Macaca fascicularis: one gene and its partner. The protein of the gene in region 2 binds, or shares a complex with, the protein of the main gene of each other region. Links are inferred from orthologs where the notes say so. Each region holds a gene or a part of one and is shown on either strand. Other genes may lie near its edges. The genes, in order: TES and ACTL7A.

Region 1 (4,524 bases), on a different chromosome or scaffold from region 2:
TTGTGTCTTTGTTCCAACTTTTAATCTGCCTTTTCTCAAGGTACATTCAAACTATTAATTTTCTTGTATAACTGAGTCAAAAAGAAAGGCGACTTGAAAACTAGGTACCAAAATAGGGTGAGAAGACTGTGCTGGTAAATCAGATAGTCTTGTAATATTTCCTTCTTTGGATGTGTTAGAAAACAATTGCTAAAAGGAACGTAAATTTCTTTTTGAGAGTATGGCCAAGATTGTGAAATACATTCCTGAGATTTCCAAACTTTTGTACTGGGGAACTTTTTGTTAGAATATCAAATCTATTAAGGGACCCACACAAACTGGAGTCAAATAGGACATCTTTGCAGTTTTTTAATAGCTTCCAATTTACCAGGTGAGGATTCTGTTCTAAGAATCATCAGTGAAGACAACGTAGTGAAACAGGGATTTGCTGTATCATGAGATTCTCTCTAAAACCTTTAATTTACGGAAATCTTTTTGGGGTGGTAGAGGCAGAGAGGAGGAGAATTAGAGGAAGTTAAGATTCTTGGTTGAAAACATAACTTTTAAAGGTAAAGTGGGGGATAAAGGAGGAAAACTATACCATATGTCAAGGGCATTATTTATCATAATCCACATTTTCAAACTCTAAGGAAATTGTTTATAAACAACGTCTGCATTTTTCCTTTGCAAGCACATACAATTTTTAACTTTGAACTTTTTTCCCTCAGAATTACTCCTTGTCTCAAAAAGCTTCAAAAATATCTTTGATTTTTCTTCCCCTATTAAACGGACTTTGTTTTTTAAAGCATTTTTTAGCTTCACAGCAAAATTGAGCAGAAAATTCGAAGTTCCTATGTACCTCCCCCGTGCCTCCCCATCTCCAAGCAGCCTCCCGGACTACCAACATCCCGTTATCAGTGCTGTACATTTGTCACAAGTGATGAAACACATTGACACATCATTATCCCCAACATACATAGTTTACATTAGGGTTTACTCTCGGTGTTCTACATTCTATGGATTTTAATGTATAATTACATGTATCCGCCATTTTATAGTATCATACAGAATAGGGTCATTACCCTAAAAATCCTGTGCTTCACCTGTTCTTCCTGGCCAACCCAAAATATGTTTACTTTGACAAAGTTGTCTTCAAATAAATACTTAAAAGCAAGGACAAGACCCCTCAAGTTTTAGACAAGTACTAAATTAAGTAGCTCTTACCCACTTGAAAACTAAATGAATGTAGTATTCATCAACAGAAAGCTAAGCGAGAAAAATGCTTTCCCCGCTTTTCCCCCATGACAAGCAAGATTAACCAAAAATATCAGTTACTTAAAAGAAAAAAAGAAAGAAACCAAATGGAAAGAGAATAGAATGCAATCACGCTACTCTCAACAATTTATGTTTTTCTGTTCCTGGATACCTTTTTGAGTGCTTGCGAATTTCAGTCCTAAGGAATGAAAAAAACTGTTTTCTCATTTCAAGTTTTTATTGGTCAACAGCTTCCTAACCGAAAACTCTGCAGTCCTAACACAATACTTTCTATCCATTTTCAAAAATCCAATTCTGGGCATAAAATAGAATTAATGCTCAAGTCAGAAACTTTGTGTTTAGAAGATAAAATAAGAATATTAGGAACCATGAGTAAGAGAAAAAACAAACTTTTATTTTTCCCTTCCTCTCTCTGCAAAACTTCCCTATCCGATAAGGGAGAGCTAGCTTAAATTTACCACAAAGTAAAATATGAGCAAATCCCCTGGAACGCGGAGAACTTTCGCACAGGGCAATTCACTCGAATGTGACATCAGCATTCCTTCTGAGTCACAGTCTGGTCCCCACCCTTTTCTCCCAGGCGACACCAGGCTCCGCATAACCCGGGAGTGGCTCAGGTAAGGCCATCGGTTCCAATGCCTGCGAGGCAGCAGCCAGGCTGGAAATGTCTCCCTGCGCTGAGACGCTGGTGACAACCGCCCTTTGGGACTCCCTGCCAAACAGGGAGAATGCGCGCTTTGACAGATAATTCCCTAAGAGGGAGGCAGTGCTTCGGTAGACAAGTAATGAATGACCAAAAAAAAAAAAAAAAAAATTCACATTAGAAGTTATCACCAGCACGGGTGCGAAGGCAGTGCATTAAATCAACACTCATTTTATAGGGCCCCAGGCAGCCCAGCTGGAAGGGAGGAGGTCAGAGCTGTCAAAGCACAGCAGAGCCCCAAACCACAAAGGCTTAATGAAGTTGAACTTCCTGAGCCAGGAAGTGTCACGGTCTCGCCCGCACTCGCCCTAAGCTCGTCCTTTTGAGGAGGCACAGGCAGAGCTGAAACATCTTAAGTAAAGTTTCCAACACCTCCAACCGCTGGGACTCCGTAAGACGGGAGAGAAGAGCCCCGCGCCCGCCCTCGCTCGCGCTTCCAATTTTGTCGCTCTCGAGTTTGGGGAGCTGGCGGGGCCGGCGGGCACCTACTCTACCCAGGGGGCCGGATCTCTGGGCCCGGGACACCGCAGACCCAGAGCCGGGCTCACGCCAGGCGGCCCGCAAGCCCCACCCGCCTCGGCACCTCCGGCCGCCGCGCACCGCTCGACCCGCGCAGGTGAAGCAGCCGCTGCCCGCCACGAGCGCCCCCCTGAGCACCCCCCTACCTTCTTCACTTTGTTTTCCAGGTCCATGTTTATGCGTCCTATGGGTCCCCTCCTCCTCCAGTCCGGGATCCCACGGCCGGGCTCAGCTGGCCTCCGGCTCCGCTGCGGACACGGGGAACCTGTGGAACTCCCACGCCGCCGCCCAGCAGCCACTAGACCGGCGCCGTCGAACTTCCGCCGCCCAGTCCGCCGCAGCCGGCCTGCGGCAGGGACCCGGGAACAAAGAGGGCCGGGCAGCCAATGGCAGCCGGGCAGCCCCGGGCCGCCGCCAATCACCGAGCGCCGCACGCACCTTCGCGGCTCGAGCTCGGCGCTGGCAAGGTGAAGGGCGGGGCCGCGTCCGGGGCGGCGCCCTGCGGGGCAAGCTCGGGGACCCTGACCTGGTCCCCGGAGGATGCTCTGGGCGTCCACGGGCCGCTTCTAAAGAGCTGGGATCCAGCCTCCCTCTAGCTGAAGATAGAGCAGAACTTTTTTCATTTTGGCAATTTGTACCTGTGTTTGCCCAGGACTTTTTATCTGGGTCAAGGGGAATAGGTATCCCAACTTCTCAGTTTATTTTCAAACTAACTTCTCAGTTTATTTTCAGAGCAAAGAGAGAAAAAATAAAAGAAAAAGAGAAAGAGAGAGATTGTAGGGATCGTTAGGGATTCCTGTGATGGACCTTGGGCACTAAATTCACTATTGCGTTGTGGAGATGCCCTTTCCTCGATTGCTTTTCTCCAAAATCCCAAATACTGTCAAGAAACCGCATCTTACATCCCTAACGTCAGTGAATATTCTTAGATTGTTTCCTGAGCATTGGGTTGTTCAAAAGTAAAGATGATGTGAATCACTTCAGAAACAGGTGTCATTCCTTTGGAAGTAGAGGGTTGCCCTTTCTGCTGTGTGAAATGGTGCTAGGCCTATCGCGTGCTCAGGCTTTGATGACGCAGAGTCATCACATTGGTGCACCAGAGCTGAACTCATTTCATGCCCTAATTCAGGAGCAATTGCATCTAATACCTTCAGATTGGTGGGTCCGGAAGGGAGCCTAAGATTACTTAGTCTAGCTTCCTCATTTTGCTGGGAACTGAGGACTCCAGAGGTGCAGGGACCTGCCTAATGTCTTAGCCTGTTGGGGACAGAGGCATTGCTCATGAATCTAAATAACTTCTCAAAGATGTTTGGGGCTGGAAGCAGAGCATGTTGACTAAGGAAAAAGAGCGGTCAATTTTCTTCAATTTGTGGTTATGGCAAAAAATAACATTGCCCAGACAGCAGGTGACATAATTTGACACCTACTTTTAAAAATAACAAAACAATATAAAACAAACAAACAAAAATTCCCCAGTAATGCAGATATTCAGGTCCAGATGTATGTCTACCTTGCCTCTAGAAATTTGGTAGCTAAAAATATCCAAAATTCATTTTAGCCAATACTTGCAACTCTGCTTACTTGATTATTTGTTAACACAGAGCATTGATTTATAATGTGCATGTTTCCTTTATCCTATTAAGAATTAACACTGAAATTACCAAAATGAGTTACACATTTTTCTTTTAATTGATGTATAACTTTTCTGTATCATTTTCCCAAATCACCTTGAAAGTTGTGGGCCCCTGCAAAGTTTGCCCTCTGTAAGTGTACAGGAACATGAGGTCTAGCTATGACAAGACAATTTTGTTTCTTTCAGAGAGCTTAACAGATGGAAAATGTCCAGTAAAGCAATTTAAATAAGGCATCAAACAAATGTTGTAACATAAATTTTGGACCCTTATTTGATGAGGTTGCAGAGATGACACTAAGAAAACCATCTGGAAACATTTTTTTTTAAACTGTCAACTTCTGCCTTTCTCCCATTCTTCCCTCCCAACCCTCTCACCATTACATTGTGTGTGTATCATTGACAAGGATGGAAATAG
Region 2 (4,496 bases):
CACTGCTTTGGTCACCTCCTGCTTGGGCCTCTCCTTGGCTGCCTTTGATTCAGTAGGTTCCTGTGGCTCTGAACTCCTGCGGCGGACCCACACGGCCCGCTTTGCCGGACCATCCCTTAAAGAGGCAGTCTGGAGGGCCTGTGTCTGCAGGGGGGCCTGGTTACCCACCTTCTTGGCGGGCCCATCCCCCATGATTGCTGCCGGTGGAGCCCACATGTTGTCAAGAGCCGCACCACTCTTAGAAAGTTCTCAATCCCACTGGATTCAAGGCCTGAAAGGCCTACATCAGAGGATACCCTGAGAATTTTCCCAACAATGACATCACTAATTATGATGTAATCTGGTGACCTGGGCTTTCTAGATATTGCAAACCCTTATCCTGTGTTAGGGTACATTTGGGATATTGTTTTTGAAATGGCTCCCCTTTTCCTAAATTTTGTAACAAGACTGATTTATTCAATTAATTAATATTTCTTGAGTGTCTGCTATATACAAGGCAGCTGGGAATTCAGTGGTGAAAAAAAACCAGACAAAATCCCTTATTCTAGTTGGTGGGGGGTGGGGGTGACAGACAATAACCAAAATGAGCATTAAGAGCAAAAGCAGGGTGGCAGTGCTAGGGTGGCCTTGGCAGAGCTTCCTGAGAGGGTGACATCTGAATGAAGGACCTGCAGGAGGTGAGGGAGAGAGCCACGTGTTTGTCAGGGGAACAGCAGGTGCGGGGGACTGGAGGCAGATGTGTGAAGAGTTAGATCAGGGGTCAGCAGGCTGCAGTCCAGTCCAGTCCCCAGCTTGTTGGATTGGAATACAGCCGTGCTCATTCATGTTTGTATCGTCCATGGCTGCCTTTGCAGCACAGCAGTAGAGCTGAGTCACGGCTTTGAAGACTGTGTTGCCCAAAAAGCTGAATGAAAGTAAGTATTGACCGGCCCTTAAAAAGTTTGCTGACCTCTTGAGTTAGAGGAGGAACAGGAAGACAAATGTGGCTGGCATGGAAGGAGTAAGGAAAATTAGATGAGATGGGGTGGGGGAAGGCGAGCAGCTCACAGTAGGCCTCATAGGCCAATGCGAGGATCATGCCTAAGGTCAGAAAGCACTAGAGGATTTGGTGCAGAGCACCGACACCATCTGATTTAGATGTTAGCGGGATCCTTTGCTGCTATGGTGACTATGTCAAGGGCACTAAGGGTGACACTTAGAACAACCTTAAGAGGAATTATTTTTGGATATACATTTGTACACTTACTGTGCCTTCATCAGGGTCATTGGCTAGGCAGTGAAATTAGACCCTAAAAAATCCCACTGACAACACTGAGGCTTGTAGGTGCGTAGCTCATCCAAGGATATCCAACCAGGAGTAGCCAAGCTCTCCCGACTGTGGCTTCCTCCCCAGGATGTGCTGGGACACAGCTTGATGGGACCTAGTATGCATCTTTTGGGCTGCTTGGCCACCATCTTGCATGCCATTTCTGAAGCTGGACACATTGGTGTGGATGCCTGCCACACTCAGGGCAGAATCCAGCCTTATGTGATGCCATACCTTGAACCTGATCCCAGCCCTTCATAAAAGGCAGTCACCACAATAATGGGCTTTCTCCTTTAGAGAGGCTATGGGTCCTTCTTTCAGTTCCTTTGGGGTATGAGAGAAGAAAAGGACCAAGTCCAGTCTCATGAGGTTTGTGACTATCTGATGGGGGCAGCAAGGTGTCATCCCAGGGACAAAATCTCAGTTTCTTGCTTCATTGGTTAGTGGGTGAGATCATGGCATGGAATTTTGAAGGAAAAATAGGAAAGTACTTTCGATACCTGGCTGCCTGAAAAACAGTTTAATTGCCTCTGCTGTTCAGGGATTTGCATGGACAACTCAGATTGTTTGACTTTATTTCAAAAGTTCTGTATATGGTAACCAAAGGCATATGTAATTTAAAACCCTCCATTTTTTTTCTCCCCAAACCCTACTTGAATTTTGAGAAATCTATAGCTGCTTGGTACCTTTTCACTAATCTGGACTCCTAGAAGAGCCTGTATTAGCTTCCTGTTTCTGCTGTAACAAATTACCGTGGATGTAGTGGCTTAAAGCAACTCACAGTTATTATCTTACTGTTTTGGAGGTCGGAAGTTCGTAATTCTTCTTAGTGGACTACAATTAAGGTTCTTTTAGGGCTGTATTCCTTCTGGAGGTGTAGGAGACAGTACTTCTTCTTGCCTTCTCCAGCTCCTAGAGGCCACCTGTGTTCCTTGGCTCATGTCCCTTCCTCCATCTTAAAAGACTTAGAGTCTCAGACTACAGCTATCATTGTCACATCTGTTTCTCTGCCCTTGGCCCTCCTGTATCCCCCATATAAGGACCCTTGTGATTACATTGGCCCCACCCAGGCCATCCAAAATACTCTCCCCATCTCAGATTCCTTCATTTACTCCCATCCACGGAATCCCTTTTGGCATGAAAGTTAATATACTCACAGGTCCCAGGGATTAAGATGTGGACACCTTTGGAGGACCCTTTCACCTGTCCTGTGCCTCCCTCTTCACTAATACACTCCAAGCCTGACATGCTCTGACTCGTTTGCTCTTCCTGGGCTGCCCAGGCTTGCCCATCTATCATCTGTCATTGCCCTTTCTGCATTTGTGTGTGGAAGAGGTGATGCCTTAGTGTAAGGCAGTTATTCTGTCTAGTCTGTAAGGTCCTTGAGCATAGGGATTCCCCTCACATTCTCTGAGCAAAAGCCAACGAAACACTTGCCCTCCTTTTCTTCACCTCTCAGTTTCACATGTTGGGTACCCCCAATCAAAACCCTGTTCCCCCTAAGCTTCCTGTTACTCTCTGTGCCTCTTCTCTCCCTCTGTGGGTCAGCACACGGTTAGCGGTAATGATGGAAGAATGCAGAGACTGTTGACACCGTGCTCCAAACCTCTACTGCCTAGCACACAGCCCCCCACAACTGTCATCAGCTAAGGTCTGTGTGGGCTCCCTGGGGTCCCTAGTGAGGTCCCTCTAGGGAGAGGCACCCTATATTGCTCAAAATATGTTGGGCCATATTTTCTAATGGGATCACACATACTTTTAGTCCTCTGGCTCAAGACCAAAAAAACCAAAAAAACCATGGGATGACTCCTTTTTGAAAGCAACCCTGGGGTCTTTTTTTTTTTTTTTTTTTTTTTTGAGACAGAGTCTCGCTCTGTTGCCCAGACTGGAGTGCAGTGATGGGGTCTTGGCTCACTGCAAGCTCCGCCTCCTGGGTTCATGCCATTCTCCTGCCTCAGCCTCCCGAGTAGCTGGGACTACAGGCGCCCACCACCACGCCTGGCTAATTTTTTATATTTTTAGTAGAGACGGGGTTTCACCGTGTTAGCCAGGATGGTCTCGATCTCCTGACCTTGTGATCTGCCCGCCTCGGCCTCCCAAAGTGCTGCGATTACAGGTGTGAGCCACCGCGCCTGGCCAACCCTGGGGTTCTCTTCTATAGTGGAGGGAGAGAACATGGAAAGATGAGATTAAAGAACACACTTATCCCTGAGGTGCATCCTGGCTCCTGGCTTCAATTTTTGAGACACTACCCGCCCTTGACCTTTGGAGGAGAGGTGAGCCAGGCCCCTGGAAGTTTAGCAGCTATAGGAGGGAAAAAATGAAAATCTGGTGTGACATTTCTTCTCATGAATCACCTGTAGTTTTTCTTAAAAATTACTGGAGTCCACCACAGCCTTTCCAACTCTTGAATATGCTGGAGAACCCCTGAGTCAGGAGCTCTCAACAAAGAAGATCCTTGCCAAACAGGCACTTTGAGCTGCTTTCTCACAGCTCAGACCCCAGTGTGGACACTCAGGTCCCAAGACTGTGCCCATTTCCCTGAGGTGGAAGGGAGAGGAGCTGTCTTCAGGGGGAGATGAGCTACTGAGCAGGCAAATCTGGATCCGAATGCTTCCCCTTCCACGTGCTCCAGCCCAGTGTCCCACAGCCTAGTGGCCTTTGGGCATCTCTAAGTCAGCATGCCCTAGTTGGAGCTCATTCTCTCCCCGCACATGCCTTCCCTTCCTCCCCCTGCATTCCATGTGTTTGTTTGTGGTGCCACCATCCACTTAGCAGCTCAAGGCAGAAACCTGGAGGCCATGGATATGGGTCAAATTGGTGAGGGGACATAGCAATATGGTAATCACATTCAAACGACATTTCAAGTAGTTTATACAAAGTCATACAGATTATAAATAATAAATCTGTGTTTGAACCCAGGTCTCTGGATTCCAGTTCCTTGATCTTCCCTCTGCTCTGTACTGTCTTTCCGTAAGGAGTGGATAAAAAGTAGTCTCTGGCAGTCCATGAGCACTGCCTTTAAATAGCCTAAGAGTTGTCGTGGAAGAATTTGCTTGCTCTGTAGAACTTCAAGAGTAGACGCAAGACCAATTAATGGCTTCAGAGAGGTACACATGCCAATCCAGTGTGACAAAACATTTATCACTCATGGCTGGCCAAAACGGGGTAAGCTGTCCATGTCAGACTG

What was found.
Region 1: the proteins of ACTL7A (region 2) and TES are in contact, whole or in part, in a crystal structure (PDB 2XQN), measured with the Homo sapiens proteins. The link is inferred for Macaca fascicularis from reciprocal best matches to the Homo sapiens genes ACTL7A and TES. Residues at the interface, in NP_006678.1 of Homo sapiens: Leu28, Gln29, Thr30, Ala31, Ser32, Leu33, Arg34, Asp35, Gly36, Pro37, Ala38, Lys39, Arg40, Ala41, Val42, Trp43, Val44, Arg45, His46; in NP_056456.1 of Homo sapiens: Asn311, Glu312, Tyr313, Thr314, Gln315, Ala316, Glu317, Leu323, Phe326, Leu335, Ala336, Gly337, Glu338, Ile339, Tyr340, Val341, Tyr353, Pro370, Glu371, Val372, Gln373, Arg374, Val375, Thr376, Tyr377, Ala384, Phe389, Leu398, Ile399, Gly400.

The regions. Positions count from the first base shown.
Region 1 is NC_088377.1:157,676,708-157,681,231, reverse strand, and holds the start of TES (testin), read right to left. Parts: upstream 2,820-4,524; 5' UTR 2,650-2,819; coding exon 2,623-2,649; intron 1-2,622. UniProt on the Homo sapiens protein: Scaffold protein that may play a role in cell adhesion, cell spreading and in the reorganization of the actin cytoskeleton. Plays a role in the regulation of cell proliferation. May act as a tumor suppressor. Inhibits tumor cell growth.
Region 2 is NC_088389.1:49,265,823-49,270,318, forward strand, and holds the start of ACTL7A (actin-like protein 7A), read right to left. Parts: upstream 3,096-4,496; 5' UTR 217-3,095; coding exon 1-216. UniProt on the Homo sapiens protein: Essential for normal spermatogenesis and male fertility. Required for normal sperm head morphology, acroplaxome formation, acrosome attachment, and acrosome granule stability.